Linked DNA regions of Alligator mississippiensis. The protein of the gene in region 1 interacts with the protein of each later gene in a pairwise test. Links are inferred from orthologs where the notes say so. Each region holds a gene or a part of one and is shown in the gene's direction. Other genes may lie near its edges.

The links.
Region 2: the proteins of CWF19L2 (region 1) and CALCOCO1 interact in binary tests that used the Homo sapiens proteins (3 or more experiments, as listed by UniProt). The two-hybrid records come from large-scale screens. The link is inferred for Alligator mississippiensis from reciprocal best matches to the Homo sapiens genes CWF19L2 and CALCOCO1.
Region 3: the proteins of CWF19L2 (region 1) and TRIM37 interact in binary tests that used the Homo sapiens proteins (3 or more experiments, as listed by UniProt). The two-hybrid records come from large-scale screens. The link is inferred for Alligator mississippiensis from reciprocal best matches to the Homo sapiens genes CWF19L2 and TRIM37.

The regions. Positions count from the first base shown.
Region 1 is NC_081824.1:437,555,818-437,563,663, forward strand, and holds the start of CWF19L2 (CWF19-like protein 2), read left to right. Parts: upstream 1-4,825; 5' UTR 4,826-4,874; coding exon 4,875-4,958; intron 4,959-7,846.
Region 2 is NC_081838.1:8,533,552-8,541,355, forward strand, and holds the start of CALCOCO1 (calcium-binding and coiled-coil domain-containing protein 1), read left to right. Parts: upstream 1-4,731; 5' UTR 4,732-4,791; intron 4,792-6,166; 5' UTR 6,167-6,176; coding exon 6,177-6,350; intron 6,351-6,850; coding exon 6,851-6,953; intron 6,954-7,350; coding exon 7,351-7,544; intron 7,545-7,804. UniProt on the Homo sapiens protein: Functions as a coactivator for aryl hydrocarbon and nuclear receptors (NR). Recruited to promoters through its contact with the N-terminal basic helix-loop-helix-Per-Arnt-Sim (PAS) domain of transcription factors or coactivators, such as NCOA2.
Region 3 is NC_081837.1:3,318,894-3,325,924, reverse strand, and holds the start of TRIM37 (E3 ubiquitin-protein ligase TRIM37), read left to right. Parts: upstream 1-4,003; 5' UTR 4,004-4,137; coding exon 4,138-4,158; intron 4,159-7,031. UniProt on the Homo sapiens protein: E3 ubiquitin-protein ligase required to prevent centriole reduplication. Probably acts by ubiquitinating positive regulators of centriole reduplication.

The DNA.
Region 1 (7,846 bases):
AGATGGGTGCTTATGCCTGAAAGCTTGCAAAGAACGTTTCTGCAGCTATTTAGCAGGTCCAATAAAAGATATATCAGAGAGAGAGAGAGACTTACACATAGAGGTTGAATTTTGATTACTGGTATTGCCATGGTACCCCAAAGACCTGTCATGGGCCAGGTTCTCATTGTTTTTAACAATTTCTTCAATAATCAGTGAGAGGAAGTTTGTGCCCCAAGTAATCTAGAATGGTCACATCGCCATATCATTTTCTTATTTGTTCTCTCCACTTTGTTGGGAGATGCTTCTATACAACGAATTGATATGAGTCCTGCAATACCTCCAGTTGGAAGTTATCTTCTATTTGGCTCAAAATGTCTGAAGGGAGTACAGCACTGACTGGAACTACTGCAGGTTCCACAAGTAGACACAACAGCATGGAAAAAGCATGAAGGTAGTTCCTGAGTACCATGGCCAAAGAGGCTGGTAGGTAGGAGACTCAGGATCCGAAGTGTCACTAATGGAGGCAGCCTTCTAAAACTTTCTGTATTTTAATGAAGCTCTATAAAACCTTCCAGATAAAGGCCTGGTTACACATTATGCTGTGAGCCACCCAAATGTTGATTGGTTTAGAGCTTTGGAGCAGTCACACCTTTGGGGAAGATCAGTGGGGAATAGACATGACTTAATGGAACAGGAGCTGGGTGGTGTGGCTCAAGAGATAACCCTGCCCTGCAGTAGTCGCATAACAAGGGCTTTAAGGTTTAAACCACTGAAGGTGTTAATGTGTGGACCATCAAAGGGGCTAGGAGATCCAGGAGCCACCCAAATTTACCGTGTAATAAGGCCCCAACAGGGCTAGTTAAGGCTCCTGGCTCCAGTCAGTTTATCTGAGTTAGAGTTTAGATCAGTGTTAATTTTGTCCCATTTATCTACTGTTTTAGCACAACAAAAAGCTTGTGGCCACATTCAGGCTTTTTGTTCCATAAAAAAACTGATAGATGTACCCCAAAAATGCTGCAGGCAGCTGGAGCTTTTAGGCCGCTGGAAACCAAAGGCTACCAAGGGTCCCTGGTCCCAGTCAGCTGTTGCAATGGAGGCTGCCCTGGGGACAGAGGGAGCTATGGAGCTATGCCATATTGTCCTCTGGCTGAAGAATGTGCCTTTGCGACAATTTTTTCTTGTTCCAGCAAAGGGACTGTGCATGTGTGCCTGCCCACGGCACTGTATTCTTTGTAGTGCTACCAGCTTTGTAACACTACAGAAATGTCTGCCTTAGTCCCAAATGGCCAAGATTATTGCTTATATCTCATCGTGGTATTGGCAGCTACTAAGTGTTACAGGAACCTGCAGATCTTTCAGGTCCAGTGGAGTACAGCAGAAAGGAAGGGGAAGGAAGGGAAAAGGAAAGGCAAAGGCAAGGGAAGGAGAGGAGAGGAGAGGAAAGTTTTGTTGGGGAAGATGATGGGAACTAGGCTAGTAAATATAAGAGAAAAAGAGCTGACCATGAATGGACATTAGAAACCACAAGCCTTTTCTGAGGTAGCAGTAAAAACAGAAATTGCTGTTATTGTACCCACTTGATTCAGGTTTTTTTTCCTGCTCATAAAAAGGAACAACCTGTTCAAAAAACAAAATACTGAAAAATTGTCACTTTATATGCAATATATATGTATGTGTTTCAAAGAGATTTGTCACAAAACATTTATGACAAACATTAGTAAATGTCACTAGAGAATGACATGAAATGAAAACTCTGGGTACAAACAATCCTGAAGTTTGAGGAAAATGGATTTAGTTCCAAACTTTGTCTCTTAGGTGTCTTAACTATAGCTAACAATACCATTTGAGTTCTCAGTAGCTAAGCAAATTAACAAAATACTTATTGCCTAGTGTTAGACAACACATGGTTTGATATTAAATATGGAACAATAGATGGATCTTCATTAGATTTACAGCAGTCTGCTTTTTCATTTTTATTGAAAACTAAACTCTTATTTGCAAGAGGCTTTCTATGTCATCAGTGTTAAACAGTCTGTTTGGTTGCTGAAGTTTGGTGCCAAGGACTCTTTTTGACTAAAAAAAAGTAAAATATGCTATTGAACAACTCAGACCTTCACCCAGCTCAGTGGAGCTGACCGCTCCATTGTCAGATGGTATATTATCATTTTTGTGGCACTTAATTTTATATACACCCACCTTTTCTTTCTTTGAAGGAAACTTAGTAAAACTTTTATTGAAGAAAAATGCCCTTCTCTGTGATTATATCATCTGCTTTTTTCTATAATTTCTCATGAGATTGACTTTTTTACTTTCACCAGCCACAGAAAATTCCTGTCCGAAGCTGAGCTATCATTTTCTCTCAGACACACAAGTAACACACTGACAAAGGGAGTGTATTAAAAATAAACAAATTAAGAACTGAATTAGATTCAGTCCATTTTAGCCTCCATGCACCTAACTCTCTAGCCACCTTGTTGCCTTTGATGTTTCTTTTATGTTATTGTTTCAGAATAGGTTGCTGATTCAGATAAAAAACTCCCACAGCAACATGCAGGATTTACCCAAATGGACTATCAGCTATCATCTGTGGCAAACAAATTTTGTTTTTTCAAAGGGAGAGCATTTTCTTTTTCTGGTGAAACTTTATTCTCTACTTGAAGTAAATGGTACAGAATCAAACTTCCTGGAAACATATATTTTTTTTCTTTTTTTCACAATTCTATGGAACAAAAAAAATCACAAAATGCACTAAAAGAAAGTGGTAGCAGTGAAGGTTATAAGATAACTTACCATGGGAATCACCACTTGACTATGCAGCTCGTTTTAAGAGAACAGAGAGATACTCTTCAAACTGAGATATGGTGCACAAAGGTATCTCCCTGGTGGAGACAAGGTATGGATGCATATAGGTTTTCATTTATTAACTTGTTGTTTTCTGCAAGGAGTTTACAGAGCTAGGGTGGTTTGCTGGTCATCAAGGTAACTTGCAGCAGATCTTAAAAATACTACGCTCTTCTTGTTTTCTTTTTAATGTATAAAAGTAGGAAAGGTTGGAAGCTTTTTTATTTTTGACCTTTCTCTGGTTTTACTGAACATGTCTCAAGAATGCTGACAAGCCAAAATACAGTTGACAGGTTTAATTTTCTATCCGTCTCCCTTGAGAAAATTCCTTTCTCATTTCCTTCCCTTCTTTCAGAATAATCTGAGAGAGAGTTCACGATGTCAGTCTGAAGTCAGGAAGAAAGTTGTTGCAGGTCTGTGGCCTTACAGACCAGTAGTATAACTAGGGAGTGGAACACCTGCCTCAGGTGCTCACTTACAGAGGACACCAGAATACCCCTTTTGAGAGTCTTTGTTACAGCAGCCTGGCCCAGTCCCAGGGCATTTTTACACATGTAAGTGCTGCAGTTGTGACACATGTAGTTGTATTAGCAGTGAAACGTGCATCAGTGCCGAGAAAATGATGGTGACGTGCTTTTGAACTAAAACACATTGGAGATGCTTTAGTTCATAAGCCCACTGCCACCATTTTCTACACGCTGATGTACATTTTGCAACTTACACAACCGCACACAGTGTGGCGCAGCGTGCCTCAGCTCGCGTGCGGAGCAGACTCAATTAATTGAGTCTGCTCCAAAGCGGTGAATGTCCAGCGTATTGTGGGACAAAAAAGTATGTGTATAAATGCCCATAGAAGTCAGGCAGCCCTGAGCTCAGTAGTATACAGGGGCAGGGGTTGAGTGGAATGGTGCTCTCCCAACGCCTCACCCTGCCAGGATTTTTGCCATGGGAAGTGCAGGGCCCAGTTGTGTATGGGGAGTAGAAGCAAATAAGGTGAGGGAGCCCATGCAGCGGGGTTGTTGCTGCTGAACACTGCCTGCTGCCTGTAAACCAAGGCCACATGCTGCGGACTGCTAGAGCAGGAGTCAGTAATATTTTTAGGCAGAACACCAAAAAACGCCCAGAAGCTCAACTTGTACAATGCCGGTGTGCCAGGGGAGTATGGCAGGAGAGCCACAAGGGGCCCAATCCTTGCTGTGGCAGTGCAGCCCTGGCCTTTTCCCCACTGCCCACCCTGAGGCGGGCATGCCTTCCTGTGCCGTGCCCTGGCACCCTGCCCCAGAGCTAGAGCGATAAGGGGAACCATGGCTGGCAGGGGGTGGGGAACGACAACGACACACACGGCTGACAGGGTGACTGCTGGACAGCCCTGGAGCTGTTGCTTATGAAAGTTTATTGATCTCCAATTCATCTGTCCCACGCGACTTGACCCGCCTTCAGAATGCTGATTGCATCTACGGACCCCTCTGAGAAATCCTACGAAATACAAGCTTTCGTTTCCACCCAGCAGAACTTTTACCATCTTTTCTCCAAAGCCGATGAAGGGTGTTTGTGCCCCAAAGCTTGCAAATAAAGGTTTTGTTTGGTTTTTTTTGCAAAAATCTTGTTGCTCTAATAAAAGAGATCACCTCTGCCCACGAGCCCTGATTACCTCTTCCCTTCTGGCACCTGGCAAACCTACATTTTAAGACCTTTACAGGACCCTACACAAATAGCACTGGGAGGGACCTCCCGGGGTCGAGGCAGGATCATCGCTGACCAAAGCACCCAACCCACAGCCAGCGCTCAGCGCTCTCTGTCTAACGTGCTGGGGGAAAATTTCAATATCCACAGCAGGGACTCGAACCCGCGATTCTGACTGCAGCCTTACGAGGCTCTCGAGTCCCAGTAGAACTCGCTCCGGCGTGGTGCGGGACCTGGGTGTCACTTCCGCCCGGCTGCTGGAGGACCTTGACCCCCCCCCTCCCCGCCCGAGCGGCGCCTGTTGCGACACTTTCCCAGCAGTGCCGTATTACAGCCCGGCCTGGCGGTGCTTTCCGGCAGCCCCGGGGATGGCGTCCGGGTTTGAAAGCGAGCGGAGCCTGGCGGCGCGGAGGGAGCAGCGGCGGTGGGATCGCGAGTCGCTGCTGCTGCAGGTGATGCACGCGGGTCCCCCGGCACGGGGCCTGGGGCCGGCGGCCGGACGTGGAGGGCCCTGCCCTGCCTGTCCAAAGCGGGGCGCTGGGCCCTGGCTGCTGTCCCCTCGTCCGCTGGCCTGCGAGGGGCGGACCCGTGGAAGGGGGGTTTATTTTTGTGGGCTGAGACCTCCTAGCTGCGGGCGGCGCCATGTGAAGGGCACGGCCCTCCCTGCCCCAGCCTCTGCGATGGCACAGTGTTCACGCTGGACAGACTTCAATTCCTTGTTTCACCCGCACTGGGGACATGAAAAATGTGCTTTATGAATGACAGCTGAGCCGGGAGGAGTGTGTGATAAGTCTTCGTCTTGGGGAGACGGTTTAACAAGTGGTGCTGCCGGCAGGGCCCTCCTTCCCACGGCTTTCTGGTGTGATCCTTCTTATAGGTTGTGTATACAAATTTTTCAAAGTGCTTTTTTTGTTGTGCATAACCTGCAAGTCTTAGATAATGCTGTATTTTGCTCATGTGTGCAAACACCTTTCCTTTAAAAACAAACAAAATAAAAACCGGTCCTGGAAATCAGGGTGTGCATGATATGTCAGGAAATACAGTAGCAGTAGTTTCTACTGCTTGACCCCTTGTAGGGAGAGGGGAATGGGGAGAAAGTAAGGCTGCATGTTCTGTGCAGGGAACGGTCGCAAGGAGTATGCAGGGCTCCCAGCTGCTCTCTGGTTTGCCCGTTACACCATTCACGGTGTACCCCAGAGCTCCAAGGTTCTCCCTTCCATCTTGCTGCTTGTCCTGAGGAACCAAACAAAGCTTGCTCTGGGATAACTCCTTGTTCCAGCAAACCTCAGCTCCACTGCCCCAGCCTGGACCTCACACCTGCAGCAGCGGAATCTTGGGCAGCCCCACGTGGCCTCCCCTGTGCTTTGTGTAACAACTTTTAGGCCGCCCCTTTCCATAGAATGAGCGAGCCTAAAATATCTCTTGCCCAGAGACTGCTCTCTTCCACAGGCAGAGAGTAAGGTGTGCAAAACAGCAAAAGGCTTTATTATAGTAAGATAGAATTGTACAAGAAAAACTGACTATAGGCCTGGAGATGGAACAAAAAGACCAGTAAAGAGATTCTTGCTGTGTTATCTGGTTATATGCTAGTCTTCCTGAGACTACTGCTAGTGTTTTTAGGGATCAGCCTCCCTGCTGATACTACCAGCCGTGACTGCTGGGGTCCTGGACTCCTCTCCAGCCTGGAAAAAATCCAAAGACCTTGGCTACCTTATAAACACCCTTGCCCACTGCCCTCCTGTTCCCATCAGCATGGTCTCAGTTTTTCTTGGGTCTCCAGAATCCTCCAGAAACTTCTCTTTCAGGGACATCTGACTTTCCTCTGGGTGATGGGTGTTTTCTCACAGATGCCTTTGCTAGAGAGGAGAAGATTTCCCCATTACAGGCAGGCAGTTCCTTGAGTTCCCAACCCAATGATGTCTCCAGCCTGTCTGGGATTCCTTAAGTATGCACCCCTCCGTTCTTTGAGATGTCCAGAAACACAAAGATGTATACAGACATCATAACACCATCTATACAGTAAGAAAAGTGACATAAGTAGATATAGCATAACATGGCCTTCCCAGTGAAACCTCACATTCTGTATCAGTGAAATAAATATAAGAAAACATTCACAACTCCTTACAAACTCCCCAGACCACCGTGGGGGTTTGTGCCATTCTGTTTACTTTGGTGGTTCTCAACCAGAGAGCTACTACCACCACAGCCAAGTGCAGTTATCCTATGTACCTCGTGTAGACCCAGACCAGGCAGGGATGTGGCAAAAGCATGCACTCCTGGATGCATTTCAATTATCTTATGAGCCTAAAACAGATAGAAATGCTCTTGCCACAGCCCTCCCTATTCTCCACCTGCCCCCCTTGATCTCTTTTGGAAACAGAGGTACACAGGACAGTTCCATCTGTCCACTGTGCCTCTGTTTCCAGGAGATACAGTCTGGGGTTGGACTGGAAAGAGCTGTGACAGGAGCAGGCTCATCTGTCTCCTTGAGGCTAATCAGATAACGTTGATGTAGGCAGGAGTGCAGCTTGTTTTGAAGCCCTTCCTGATTTGGCTGTGCACAAGGTTTGTGGGGCAGTTCTGTCTGGCCATTGTGGGAACACTTGCACCACAGCATCCTTGAAAGGGTCTCGTGGCACTATTGCCCTAAGAACCAGGGGGCATCTGGTTCTTCTCTCAAATGGAGAGAGAGCAAACAGTAGGATAGATATTGCCTTAAAGTGTGCTTCAGTTTTCTCCAAATGAAAACCTATATGTTCCCTCCAACCAAGGACCCAGTTATCTATTTATTTTTCTCCAAATTAGAACCCATTTATTTTCTTAATAAATTCGTTTTATTGAGCCTTACAAGTTATTAACTACAAGCATGCATATAGATATAATCTTAGCAGTTTCAGTAATATTAACAAGATACAATCTTAGCAAGCAAGTAATTATATATTACTAGTCCTAATACACACATCCAGTGCTGGCCAGGTGTCTCAAAGTGGGCTCTGGTTCCTTGAAGGGAGATCAGATGTCTTCAGTTTTTAGGCATTGTTAGGGTGAGGTGAAGGGAAAGGGTAGGAGAGGAGGAGAAGGAAAAAGGGGAGGAGAGAGAGGGGAAGGGAAAGGGGGGTAATATTTATAGTCCTTTGGTCTCATAGCTACCAGTTAGGCCAGTTTCCTGTTTTTCTTCAACAACTTGGGGTTTGTCTTCACTTTATCATTGTTTTTCCCCTTCTTCCTGGTACCAGGAGCCATTTCCTTCAGATGTAGCTGGAGTGTGCCATAACAAACCCTTTTATCCATCACAAAAACTTTTATCAGCAGACTCTTGCAGAAAAACAAGCTGCATCAG
Region 2 (7,804 bases), on another chromosome or scaffold:
CTGAGCACCACAGGACCCTGCAGAGACACCGGCGCCCCTCACTGCAGCTCGTGGCTCTGTGCTGTGGGCTCAATGGACCGCATTTCCCCAGGGCCTCTAGCTGGGTAGGGTGGGGAGGACAGAAACAGCAGCGCTGGCAGCCACTGCAGGCCAGATGGAGCTGGGGCTCAGGGCTGCCCACCTCATCGGAGAGCTGGGACCCAGCACCTGCCAGCTCTGGGGCCCTGGCAAGGCCAGGCGCGAGGCACCGCTGCCAGGCCAGGCCGGTGGCACCATCCCCGGCTGGCATGGCCCAGGGCTGGCCACGCCGGGCCAGCTCGACACCGTCTGCTCGGCCCAGCTGCCAGGACCAGACCCGCACCAGAGCCAGCGAACAGCCCTGCCTGGTGCGCTGCAGACGGACGGACAGACGGACACTCCCAGAAGCGAGCGGGGGGCTCACAGAGCTGGCACTGGGGTCTGCAGGGATGGGTCCACTTGTGGGGTGTTGCCATGGGCTTGGGGGCTCCTGGAGACACGCCACTGTTAAGGTTACCATGGTCATTAGACATCCCCAAAAGTCCTCTCCTCCCCACCACCCAGAACTGGCAGAGACTCTCCCAGGGACTGGGGTAGGGAGTCTATGGCACTGGGTTGAGTGGAGTTTGTGGGGTGCTGAAACTGCCACAGCCCCCAGTGCCTCCCAGTTTCCTAGGACATGAACCCCAGCAGGCCCTGTGGGGTGGGGAACCCCTGGTCCTGGCAGGTCCCCTGCTCCTACCCCAGCTCCAGGGCAGGGGGCAGGATCGAGCCCACGCAGCTGAGGCGCACAATAGAGTGCCATCGATTTTGCCATTGAGCCGCCGGGGCCCGCCGGCTCGTTTATCTCCTGTATTGACCGGCCGGGGCAGCGTCAAATTGAATTTGCTTCGTTATGAGTGTCTGAGAGATGCTCGTAAATCCCGCCTCTTTGTGCCCCGGCCAAGGGAGGGGCCGTGGGGAAACTGAGGCACAGCCAGCACTCAGGGAGGGGGAAGGCTGAGACCTGCCAGAGCTCTGCACATGTGTGGCCCTGTCCCCCACCCCCAGGTGCCAGTATAAGCCCACAACCAGTCCCAGCCAGTAATGCCCCATCTGCACTATGGGGTCTCCCATCCAAGCCCAAGCCAGGCCAAGCCCTGCTTAGCTTCCACGAGCAGGCAGGCGCTGCTAGGCCAGCCTGGCCCCACACCCAGCCTAGAAGTTGCTAATAAATAACATTAAATAAAGAAGGTTCAAAGGGGAAAACTCCCCTTAAAGCTTCAGCCAACAGGCTTGAAGGAGCCAATTTGCACCCTGGGCTCCAGCCTCAGCCTTGGGTGGGCAAAGGTGCTGGCTTGGGTCTGTGTGGGTGGGGGGAGAAGGGGCAAGGCAAGCTGGTGCAGGGCAGGGGGTAGATCTTGATACAACACCTGAAATGCCAGAGCCAGGCATTGCTAACAAGAGCCAGGCGGGGGCTTAAGGAGCCCAGATCTCCCTGTGAAATGCAGCACTGGGGGTGGGGGGTGGGCAGGGAGCGTTTTATGTGGATCTAATGGTGCTCTGAGCCCACACACGCGTACACACGCACGTACACACACATTCACACACCCCCCTCCAGGCTAGTAAGAATCTTGCTGACTCCAGACTGTGCCAGGTCTTAAAAAGGACTTTCTGCAGGTACTTTCTAGCCAAACAAGCCTCATGTCTTTTTTAGGGTGGAAAACCCCAGGCAAGCCTTCGAGGAAACTTCCCCGTAGGTGAGACTGAGGGTCTCTGAGAGCCCCTGACCCTAGGAGATGCATTGCAGGGGAGTCCTAATAATACCCCTAGGGCTGAGTGAGTGATGGTGAATCAGGCTCTGGGCAAGGATCTGGCCTTTCTCAGGGTGTCTGGTGTCTGTATGGTGATAGGGGTTCAGATCCCACTGCTGCACCATGCAGCATGGGTTGTAAGCTAGCTGTCCCCCTGCTACAGCCTCCTAGCCCTGTCTAGTGTGTGTGGGGGACCAGGACTTATTGATCACTCCACTGCCTGCCCCCTTTTCACCCCAGACTGGGTTGCATGAGCCATGGGGGGAGATACAGGGAAACAGCAAGCAGGGGAGAGCTGATCTCAGGAGTTGACAGCGCTGGGACACGGTGTTGGCAACTCAGGGTGGGAGGAGATTGGAGGGTCCAGAGAAGAGCCCGGAGGAAGATCAAAACCAGCAGTGAGAAGACCAGGGAGCAGCTTGTATTTGCCGTATTACCTTGACTAAAAGACACCCCCACATTTCCTGACTCATTTTAAGTCTGCCCCCCCCAATATCTGAACCCCAAATAACAACACAAGGACATAAGCTCTGCTTGGAACAGTCCTGGTCCTTATCCCATGCGGCCTTGAACCCCGTCTCCTCATTATTTTCCCTAGTATTTAAGCCATTCTTGGAAGCAAGATGTGGCTCTCAAAGAAGGGAGCTGATCTCAGAGCAGGGGATGGGGTCATGGCAGGGGGTGCTGGTGCAGGGGCCTTTGGAGGGGGCTGGCAGAGTGAGGCTGAAAGGATCTGGTTTGTCTGAAGATAAAAGTCATCACCTCAAAATCGTGCAGGCAACTGCCATGGAGCATGGCTGTTTCCAGTGAAAATGCCCCCAAATGCCACCCATTCAGCCCCACAGCGCTGTTTCCATCTGTCTGTCCACTCCTTTCTCCCCCTCTGCCATTCCATCTCTTTCTCTCCAGCCCCACACATCCATCCGTCCATCCCCAGACCCCCTTTCTCTCCAGCCCCACACACATCCATCGATGACTGGATGGACAGATGGATCCACCTGTCCATTCATCCCCATGCCCCCTTTCTCTCCAACCCTACACACATCCATCCGTCCATCCATCCATCTGTCCATGCATCCATCCATCCCCATGCCCCCTTTCTCTCCAACTCTACATGCATCCATCCATCCATCAATCCCCTCTTTCATTCTAGCCCCAGACTCCATCCCTCCATCCTCCTTTCCCTTTGTACCCTTGTATCTCTCTTTTTCTCCCTCCCTCCCTCCCTCCCTCCCTTGCATTGCTGCTGGGCCCAGCCAGGGCCATATTTCATCTCTCTCTCTCTCTAATGAACGATTGGCTGTTAATTACAGTTCGCCAGAGCAGCCCCCTCCCCCCCCCAGCCCATCATAGCTGCTTAGTCGGCTCCCCTCGCCGGGGATGAGAACAGACAGAGCAGCCATTAACCCTCTTTGCCAAGCGCTTCCCGGGGTCCCAGCAGGAGGCAGGGCACCATGCCAGCCCATTTGTCTCCATCCCTGTCTCTTGCTGCCTAGGCAGGAGGGGGTAGCTGCTGGCATGTGGGCAAGCAAGGCAGGGAGGGCGACGGGGGGCTGGAGATGGCATGAGGGGCTCCAGGCCAGGGTGGAAGCAGGTTACGGCCTAAGAAGCTGGGTCAGGGGCTGAGACCCTGCAGGGAGATGAGACAGGATGGATGGATGGAGCCAGGGACAGACACAGGGGCCCAGGGATCTCCCTAAAGCAGCCAGAGAACAGCCCAGCCACTGTGCCCACATCCCTGCCCCCCAGCCCCATGTCCGGCTGGCTCTGCCCTCGCAGCAGGCTCAGGGTCCCTGCTTCCTGGATATACTGAGCTCTTGGCAGGGTATCTTCCCTCCACCCATAGCCAGCCTGGACCGGGGTAGGTGGGGGCACCAAAGACGCTGGGAGCAAGAGCCATCCAGAAATGAGAGCCCTGGTAGGAAAGAGAGGAAGGAAGGAGGGAGATGAATGGATGGGGAGTTGTGTGTGGATAGAGAGATCAATCAATAGATCAACATGGGGGTCTAAGGGGATAGATGAACCAATGGATGGATGGACTGACGGACTAACAAACAGGAGGATGGGCGGGCGGACGGACGGATAGATGGACAGGTGGGCACATGGGTGGGCAGATGGACACTAACATCCACAACATCCACTAACACATCACCACTCAGGCCTGGATCCCGGCTCCGGCTCCCTCCCCACTGAGGCTTCTCAGGCCCCTTGCAAGAGCACAGCCCCCCCTCCAGGTCAGGTCCCCCAGCCCAGGGACACACTGGCAGGGCTGGGAGCTCGCTGAGCAAATAGGCAGGACCTGATGCCTCTGCCAACGGTGCCCGGGCACAGTGCCTTTACCCTGGGGTAAGTGCATCCATACTGGGGGCTGCCCTGGGATAAGCACGGCCAATGAGCCCCGCTCTGCCTTGTCCGCTATTGGCATTTCAAGCACCAGGCACCTTTGCAGAGCCAGGGGCGTCTTAAGGAGCAAGATCCATCCCGCAATCCCATGGACGGGTCACCAGCGGGAGCCGGGATAAGAGTAGTCGGAGGTGGGTGGGCTAGCAGGGGGAGCTCCAACCCCTGGCATTTGCCTAGCAAGGCAAGGCTGCAGCCTGGTGCCCTGCATCGGCCTCAAGCCCCAGCACCAGGAGTCATGGGACTGAGAGCCCAGGACCTGGAGGAGGGGAGCACAAGCAAGCCTGCAAATGGAGACAAAAACCTCGGCAGGGCACTCCAGCCCTCTATTCCCCACCCCCAGCCCCGGCCATGGGGGCATTTGCAACCCCCCTTGCTCCTCCCCCGCGGTGCATGCTGGGATTTGCATTCCTCCCCCCCTCCCCCTCCTGGGTCTCGCTGGGATTTGCAGTCCCTGGCGCCGCCGCTGGCCCAGCAGCCAGGCTGGACCGGACTACAAGTCCCAGCATGCCCCGCGCCGCCCCGCCCCCTGCCGGCCCCAGCCTGCTGTTGTTGTTGGAGCCCAGCTGATTGCTCCGCGGTAAGAGCCTTGCTCGCCCCTGCCCGGGGCGGGGGGCACCGGGGGGGCAGATCTGGGCTCAGCTGCCCCGCGGGGTGCACCCTGGAGGAGGGAGGGGGATGTGCCCTGGATCCCTCCTGCAAGGCCTGCCAGCTGGGGAGGGGGGGCATCCCAGGGGGGTACGTGCCCCCCCCCACCCTCTTAATACCCCCGCAAGGCAGCCTCACCCCCCTGGCCTGACTCCCAGGGAGGGCAGGGGCAGCCCCTGTAAGCACAGCACGTGCTCCTGCCCCCCCACCCTGGGTTTTGCTCCTCCCCCCGCCCCCAACCCAGGTGCTGGTGGAGGTGGGGGCGTTTCTGGGCAAGGGAGTAGGCAGCTGCTTCCTGCCCTGTCGGGATCGGGCCTTGCATCAGCCTGCCTTGTGCAACCCCAGAAAAAAGGGGCGGCTCCGGGACGCGGCCAGGTGGTCGGCCTGTCACTGCCAGCGGGTGTCGGGTGGCCGCACCCCACGCCCACAAGCCACCACAGTTCCTTCCCCGGCCTCTGAGCACTAGGCACTGCTCAGGCACAGGGCCATCCCGCCCCCATCTGTCTGCTGTTTGCAACTCACACCCATTTCACAGAAGGGAAAACTGAGGCACGGAGCTGGCTGGTGGGGCCTGTCCACCCCACAATGTCAGCTGCAGTGGGGGTAGGCCCTGTGTCTCTGTGGCATGCCACCCAGCTGGCCTGACATGGCTTGGAAGCTAAGCAGCATCTGCCCTGGTCTGTGCCTGAATGGGAGACTGTGCCCACCTGAGGGGAGCCAAGTGCCAGGGAAGAGGGCAGGCCTCAGCCTACCATGCCCTGCTCTTTCTACTGTCTGCTTCCCCACCCCTGGTCCATAGTGTGTGTGACTGATCTTGCACGATTTCATGTGCCTCAGCCCTGGGAGCAGGGGGGACAAACCTGGCAGCACTCCCTGGAGGAGCATTGGGGGCAGATGGCATGGGTGGGGGCAGCAGCAGGTGCCAGAAAGGCCACTAGGGTGCTATCCCCTCAGTTGAGAATCACTGCTGTAGCACCTGGGGTCTCCTCCAAGCTGCCCAGACCCCCCGGGACCAGCCTCCTTGCCCTTCCTAGGAGGTGACCCCTGGCAAGGGGCAGGCATCTGAGTACCCTGTGCCTCGCTGATTTGATTTCCTCTAGCTGGGAGGCATGCAGAACCTAGGTGTCCCAGCTTAGCCATGTGGCCTCCCCGGCCCAGAGCTCAACTGCTGGAGAAAGACACCCCCCGCCCCGGTGCCCACAGGGGAGGAGCCGGGCTCTGGGGAAGGGGGACCTGCCCTGCCAGGACACCTGGGTTCAGCAAGGGGCTATCAGGACCCTGCTCACCCCCTCCCACCACCTGTCTAGCAGGTCAAGGATGGCAGAGGCATCGCCCAGCAAGCCGGGGGCCCTACCCCGCGGCCCCAGCCCCGTCCCTGTAGCCTTCCTCAACGTGGCACACTCCTACGTGCCCGGCACCAAGGTGGAGTGCCACTACACCCTGCCGCCCGGCACCAAGCCCTCCGCCAGGGACTGGATCGGCATCTTCAAGGTATGGGGGGCAGGAGGAGTGGGTGACCTCCATGCCTTAGTTTCCCCATGTGTCGAGCACTATCACCTCTCCCCAAAGTCTCCAAACCACCCCCCAGCCTCGGAAACTGGGGCACAGACCTGGGGCTTTCTAATGGGGGCTACAGCTCCAGGAAAAGAACGCAGGTTTCCTGTTCCCCACCCCACTTCCAAGGACCCTGGGGACAATATTTCAGGAAGCTGCAAGGCTGGGGACATGGGGGGGCACTTGGTAGCTGGACAGCTGGGTTTTTTGCCAGCTTTGAAAATTGGGTGGGGGCTAGCCAGCAAGAAGCCTGGGTCCTGCAGTGTCCTCCAGGAGGGGATTGGGATCCAGCTGTTGGAGTGGGGGGGGAAAGCAGGACTCCTGGGTTCTTTCACCAGCTCTGCCCCTTGGCTGCTTTGTGCCTCGGTTTCCCCACCCTGGCCGAAGTGGGCGGCTGAGCCACAGCCCTGCCCTGGTCTGTGTGTCTGTCCATGCAGGTGGAAGCGGCGTCCGTGAAAGATTACTACACCTTCGTGTGGTGCCCGGTGCCTGAGGGGGGACCCACGGGGGTGCCCCTGCACTCCAGCGTCCAGTTCCAAGGTACGTGGTGCCTGGTAGGGAGACCAAAGTGGGGCCTGGTGCTCTCTGATCTCATCAACACCCCCCCCCCCAAGCGGGGGTCTTCCTCTCCCCCTCCCCAGATCTAGGCCTTCTTGCGTGGCAGCACTCCCAGGACCACCCTACAGGGGATGCTGTGGGGGGGGGGGGGTCATCTGCATCCCCTGGAGGGGGGGGATTTGGGGTGGGTGTTTCAGCTTGGTGCTTCCTGGTTGAGGGGAAGCTCCCAGACAGGGTCCTGTAAGACCCCAGAATCGGGGTGTGAGATGAGCAGAAGGGAAGGAGGGGGCATCGTCACCCCCTGACACCCCGGGTACCCACGCAGCCGCAGTCAGGGCTCAGGGTACCCCCACTAACTGACCCTGTCCCCCCCCCGCAGCCAACTACCTGCCCCCACCAGGGGCCCAGCAGTACCAGTACCGCTATGTGGACCGGCGTGGGGAGGAGCGGGGACGCAGCAGCCCCTTCCAGTTCAGCGAGCCCCGGCCCATGGATGAGCTGGTGACGCTGGAGGGGGATGAGGACGGCAACATGGACATGCTGCTGGTGGTGCCCAAGGCCACCCTGCTGCAGGTGGGCATGCGGGACACGGGCTCCTCGTCGCCTGGCCCCTCCGCTTTTATACCCAGGGAAGGGGTGGAGCCTAGAGCTAGCCCCTCCCTCCCCAAGCTTGCCTCCCCCCCAGCAATCCCCCTACCAGGCTCCACTAGAAGGGAGGGATAAGAGGGCAAATTTGTTTCCCTCTAGCTGGGAGGGGAAACTGAGGCACGACAGAACCCAGTTAATGCCCACCCTTTGCCTATTGGCATGGACGTGGTAGCTCCGGGTGCAGG
Region 3 (7,031 bases), on another chromosome or scaffold:
TCATTTTAATAAAGCTTCTATTTGCCTACAGGCCCATGTAATTTCTGCACTGTTCCAGAAAGACAAGTGGGATATAACCGCAATACTGCAGCTTCTTTATATTATTATATAAAGGTATAAACACTACACAGGTTGAAAAACTTTTACTCTTGGTTGTATCAATGATTTTCTATTCTAGTCAGGTTTCTCTGCTCTCCTTGTATTTTGCAGTGAAGATTAAATTGCTTCTGACACTGGGATGAATGATAAAAGTGAATGACGATGGGCAACAACTGTGGCTGAACTGGTGCTAAATATGATTTAACTGCAAGTGTAGTTAAAGATAAACCATCTTCAAGACCATTTCAGAAACAGGCTAAAGCGTTAGTCTGTCCTTGCAGCTAAACTATGTTTAGCACCTTTTGCTGAAATCCATTGTCGGCAAGGGATAAGTTTGCTGCCGTAGATGAGGCTTGGGAAAACACAGAACCCAAAGACCTGAGGCTTAGTAACGGGTAATTTCTGAGCATGCAAGAAATATTGATGTTGCATATGTGATGTATAAATCTTGCTAAATTCTATAGTATAAAAAAAAGTCCCCAAATCCTTGCCTTTGAGGAAGATTCCCTTTCTAGCCTCAAATGTTACGAGCAACTTGGTCTAATACATTCAGACAAGAAGAGCTGAATCTTATGAGTGCTTGTGGTACTGTCAGCCTATGTTCTTTTCTCCACTTTGCTTGATTCTAGGAACAGGTTCAGCAAACAGTTTTTGTGGAGACAACTCTCTAATTATTTTCAGAGTGGGGAAAAAAATCTTATGTTTTAAATTATACTTTGTGGGTTTTTTTTGCTGGAGCACTCTGGTATTACTCTAGAGCTGCTATTTCAATAACTTAACAACCTAGGTTTGCTCACTCTGCTGGGATGAGGGGCAAGTAGTTATTAGGTAAGGGTACTGGTTTGTTTTCCCTCTGGGAAATGGGAAAGGTATGGGCCTGCTTTACACCTGCAGAACAGCAACTTATCAAAGGCCTTGCCAATGTAGCTTTTGCCAGTTTCCCAAACTAAGTTGTCTAAGCAAAGGAACTGTAGTTGTCTCCATTATGATGGCTTCTTAATATAACTACACTGGCAAACACTGTGTAGATGCAGCCTTCTATGGGTTTCTCTTCTGAGTTATGACCTTCTTGGTTCCCCCCACAGATGTTCACACTACTAACTGCCAATTATCTAGAAAGTCTTTTAAAGTATATGCTATGCACCCCTTCTGTAGTGATTTTAGAAATAGGTTGGCCTCTATCCATATACCTCAAGTAGCTGAATCCAGCAAAATGGCCTAGAGAAGGTCTAGAAGTGGAAGTAAAACTTAAACCTTCGAGTTAGGGGAGAAAAAAGAAATATAGAGGTGCATGTGGCTTCTGTAACAGCTGCAGGAAACTGCCTTTAAACTGCTTTAGGTGTTAGCGATGTCATCAACTGTAGCATGAGCAGCAGAGAATCCCGAGTTGCCATCTCTCTGGCAGGTAGGTGGAGGGAAGTGCTTTTCAAATGTGTGCCATAAATTTTAGTATTACCAACCCCAGGCATTAACCATGTGAGGACTCCCAAGAACAGAGAGATCACTTTAATAAGACAATTCAAATCATGCTATTTTTAACCTTGTATGGTTTAGGATAGTGGTATCTGGCTGGTGGGCTGGATCTGGCCATGTAGCTAGAACAGGAGCAGACAAAATATATGGCCCACGGGCACTTACCAATGCATTGTACCCCACCCAGCCTGCAAGCTTTGCTCCCACCCTCATGTGCAGGACAGCCCCAGCCAGCAAGCCCACTTCTGGGTGGGACCACTGCTGCAGCTGCCCCAGGACCTGCTCGGCTTCCCTGGCCTCAGTGGGCTCCTCCTCGTCTCCCTACTGCAGTGCTTGCTCCGGGCAGCAGGTAGGGAAGCTGCAGCTGGGTGGAGCATGGGGCTGGTGGGAGCAGAGAGCCCAGGGCTTGTGCTCAGTGGGATGCTGGAAGCGCAGAGCTTGGGTGGGCAGTATGTGGGGTGTGATGGGGTGGTGTGGGGACCCTCCCATGTCCTCCCCCATGGCGCACAGCCCCTGCCAGCAGTGCCTGGCTCCCACCAGTTCCAGGAGTTGCATGTGGCAGCAAGGAGGAGAGCCAGGCTGGCCCACCTCTATCACATGCAGCTCCCAGGACTTGTGTCACTGTGGGGGGAAACTGCTACAGTTTGGGCCAGGCCCAACCCGCATTGCCCGTGCAACAGTAGCCTGCCCTGGCTCCACTGTGCCTGAAAATCTAGCAGTGGTGGAGGGGTATTAGGGTTAATTTCCACCACTCCCCCTTCCAGATTTCTAGACCTGTGCAGAGCCCAATGGGCTAGATCCCTTGACTCCATGAGCTGGATTTGGCCCACAGGTCAGAAGCTAAACACGCCTTTTGCAGAAGCTTTTTCTGTAACCTTGAGAGCTAGATGATTGCCCTTTCAAATTTGAATGCAATCTGATGTCCTCAGCTACTATCCTGGCTCTATAACTCAAAGGTTTTAGTTAAAACACCTAGGCCCCTGGTATACCATTAACTGGCTAATCATAGGATTAAATTTATCCTGTGATTAGCCAATTAATCTGGCCACCCCTGCAAAGTAATTATCACATGATAAAAGTGACTCTCCAGCTACAAAAAAAGCCAACCAGCTGTAACATCAGTGCTTGAAAAATATGCAACAACTTTAGAGATGACTTCTAGCCAGCTTTCATTTGAATGTGTAGCAGGGCCCTTAAGTCCCTACTATACTTGCATACTTTACACAATTAACTGATTATTCCCCAGATAAATGTAGATGCCACAGGTGCAATGTAATTATCACAATTAATGGGCTAATTGAGTAATAAATGTAGACCAGCCACCCTTGCAAAGTAATTGTCACAGGGTAAAAATGACTCTCTAGCTACAAAAAGAGCCAACCAGCTTTACAGTCAGTGCTTGAAAAAACATGGTTGCAGACAGAAGTACAGGTCCCTGCTGTAACTAAAAACGCTTTGCAGGAAGGGTTGGGGTTTGCAATCATCCCTGGAAACACAGATGTTCACAGCTGGTTCCAGCAGGGAGGGGAATCCAGCTGTTAGCTGCCCCTTGCAGTCAGCTTTCCCCAGCAATGGCCCCTCTCTCAGCCTGTCCCTGCTCTCAGGGCAGGAAGGAAGGAGGGAGACGGAGCTCCTTCTAGTGCAGCGTTTCTCAACCTGAGGGTCGCAACCCAAAAGCTGGTCACAAGAAAGTATGAAAGGGTCACGAAAAAACTTTAGAAATGGCTCATTGAGCTTTTAAAGCAGAAAAACATGGGGAAACCGTGGCTTTTCCCTTGCAGCCTGGCAGTCCCCTGCCCCACACACCTCACCATGCCCCACGTACCCACCGCTGCCCCACACGCATGGGCCAGCTGGTGGGGAGCGAGGGGTGCTGGCCGTGGATGTTTATAAATGGGTCCCGATACAAAAAAAGGTGGAGACCCGCGGGTCTAGGGGTTCCTCAAGTGGCTCTAGTGGGGAATTGGAGCAGGGCTGAAACCCCTCCCTTCCCCCTTCTGCAACCAGAGGCGGGCAGGCGGCGCAGACAGAAGTGACAGTAGACCCATCAACCTTTTGCAAGGTCACGTTGTCACCCCATGGGCCAGTTTTGAAGCTGGCTGCAGCCCTTCACTTCTCGGAGGAGGGTGGGAAGGGACCTCAGGGGATCACATCCGGTCCAGCCCCCTGCTCCAACTGCATCATCCCACCCAAGCCTTTTTTATGTCTTCAACACCTCCAAGGACGGGCACGTCTCTGGGCAGCCCTGCTGCGGCTCTCCACCACCCTCCTCGCCAGCAACGTCCCCCAACACGCAGCCTTGCTGCAGCTTGTGAATCCCCCTCCCCTTCCCCTGCAGACAGCAGCCAGGGTGGGAACCTCCCGTAGCGCATGCGCGTGGCGAGGGGGCGGGAAGCTTGAGACGGGACGCATGCGCGTTGCGAGGGGGCGGGAGGACTGGGGCGGGGCGCGCGGACATGGCCGGGCCGTGGAGGAAGCCGGGCCGTTGAGCAGCAACGCCTGCCCTCACCTCACCTCATCTCACCCTCCTTCCCTCTCTCTCCCTCTCCCCGCAGGGCCGCCGTCATGGACGAGCAGAGCGTGGAGGTGAGCGCGGGGCCCGGGGCGCTCCCTCAGGGAGCCGGCGGCCGCCATGTTGGGGGTCCTGTCAGAAACACCCGTGGGGGAGGGGCGGGGCCAGGCACCTGCAGGTGCCCCGGGGGCAAGGGGCGCTGAGAGGCCCCCGGGCCAGCGCGGGCGTTTGTGCAGCGCAGGCCTGGAAACGGCGTTTCGTTTCACGCGGGCGCTTACACACGTGCCTTTCGTCCCGAGCCGCGCTGGGGGTCCGGGCGGGTGGGAGCAAAGGGGCGCGAGCGGTGAGGCGCGCGCAGGAAACGGCAGCGGGGCGCTTTCGAACCGAAACGTCTGCGCTGCGGCTTAGTTCGGGAGCACACCGCCGCTTTCTGGGCGCCGAGCGGGGCGGCCGTCGGAGAGGACAGTCCAGTTGCCCTCCGCCCGTCGTCGGCGCTAAACCGGACACCTTGACGTCCGCCGCTTTTCTCTTTGAAGACAAAAATGCGTCCGGTTTCTTACGGACGGAGGAGCAGAAAACTGGACTGTCGTCTGCGACGGCGCCCGCAGGGTCCCCAGCTCCATTTGAATCGCTCCCAGGAGGTTTCGTCCCACGACGTAACAACACGAATTACGGCGCGTCGGGAAGGCAAATGCACATTTTAAACCCTCCCTGGTAGGTGGCCACCGTAGAGGACGGTCCGGGCGTCCTGTGGTGATACGAAACCGGACGCCTTTATGCCCTCTGTTTTTCTCTCGAAGACGAAAATACGTTCTCTGTCTTGAAGAGAGAGCTAGAGGACACAAAGGTGTCAGGTTTTGTATCGACAGAGGAGCAGGAAACGGGGATGTCCTCTGCGATGGCCACCCTAGCGCTGACGCACGTCACCGCTTGTACGACCGTGTGCGTCGCAGCGCCGGGCGCTGTCGGAAGCACCTGGCGCTGCAGCACAGCCACGTGTACAAATGCCCATAGGCTCGGCTCTATTTAGGAAAAAGAAACGCCCGCTCTTGCGTTTAATCAGGGTTGGAGTTACACTTTGACTCTTGGGGATGGGGTCTGCAAAAAAAATAAAAATTAAACCAGCTCATTGATTAAGAAGGTCACGTAAGTGAAGGAGCAAGCTGATCAGAGGACCCCCCCTTCCAGGTTATGATTTTCAAATCTTGGGGGCTCTGGTCTCTCATGGGGGGCTGGCTTAGCCCCCTCCCAACTCCCCCTTAATTCACACCCTGCTTTTAATGCTCGTTGGTTGGAAAAGCCAGCGTTGTTCAGAGCAGGGAGGCCCAAATGGTTTGAACTATGGAAGAATAGACGTAAAGAGAGAATGAAAAGGCTAGGACATTCTGCTGTAGACAGGAGGTGAGTAAATAAGGGCTTGTCTACATGGGGAACTTGAGCGGCATAACTAAGGAAATGACGCTGGGATAGGTGTTGCAGAACAGCGATTCTCATGCACTCAGGCTGGGCAGTTTACCTCCCCAGTAGACGGGCCTAAGACAGGACACGATGAAAGTAATTCAGGAAAATAAGGTAATGTGTAAGTGTACACGTCTCATATTACATGGTAGGTAGTTATCCCCTAGTGTTTATTGTCACAAGATTTCTTAGAGCACCAGTACTTAGGTTTAAAAAAAATCAGATGTTTATGGAACAAGAGTTTTATATTCATTTTTAGAAGGGATATATAAGCCCTCGTGCTTTAGAGCAGAGGCTGGTTGCTGACCTATGGTGTTTAGCCTTTACTTTTTTGCTGTCTTGCATTTTCATCTGATACTGGCCGCTTTTAAAAGAGAGGATATGGAGCTAGATGGATCACTGGTTTGATTAGGTTTGGCAAATGCCATTGTTCCTCTCCCTTCAAAAAGTCCTAAACGTTTTATGAAATAAAAGGACTGTAGAATGGGGTAAATTGGAAATATTTTTGTGCCCCTCCTCATGTGCCTTTATATAAATAACTTTATATCTACCAACCTCTTTTTTTTTTTCATGAATATGCATTGTAGATCAGGTATCTCTTTTTCCAGAGGTGGCTAGTGATTGACATGGGAAACAAAAGATTTCCTTTGCAAGAATAGCATTCTGCAGCATTTGCAGTCTTCAAAAGTAGGGCAAATCTGCAACCTGCCGTAGGTCTAGTGATTTATTTAGCTTAGTGTTAATTGTAGTGGTTGAGACAAGGATTTTCTTTGATTGTTTTATGTCATGTTGCTGTAGCTGAAGTTTTGTCATTCAAGCTAAGCTGGAGCAAACAATAAACTAGTCTTTTACAGTCAGGTTCTCACACTTTGGCAGAGTGTTGTAAAGCTTGGATCTCAAACCATGGAGGAGCATTGTAAAGGACATTTGTTGTCAGTAGATGTGTATATATACTAAAAACCTTCATGATATTTCTGTTGGCCTGAGGTTTCACAAATATCAGTTTGGGATCCTAGCAGTGTTATTGTTCCTTCAGAAACAGAGACCAAGATTTCAGCCTGTACAAAATATTTCTGTTTCTTTACTTATTTTCACAAAATCTTGACTTGCTCTAGATCCAGCTTATTAGCAGATCATGACTTTATTCTCCAAGCTGAGCAAGGTGGAAGAAGTAAAGAAATTGCTGGGAGAGTAGGTGGTAAATGTGGACTTCAGACTTGAAAGAATAATGTAAGAAAGGGAGCATACAGTCTGTAAATTATTTTTAGTTCGGTACCTTCCCATTAACATGCTATAAAGTTATAAATATATTTACATACATATTTTCTTAAACAAGGCTTACTGCCAGTGAGGTAAAATTTGTAGGTGTGGAAATCTCTGTGAATAGTACCTCTTCACTTGGCAACTGCTTGATATCGTATAGATACAAGTGCAGCTATATGATAGCTCACTTGTACAATGTCTCATCCTTGCTAAAGCAGATAAATGG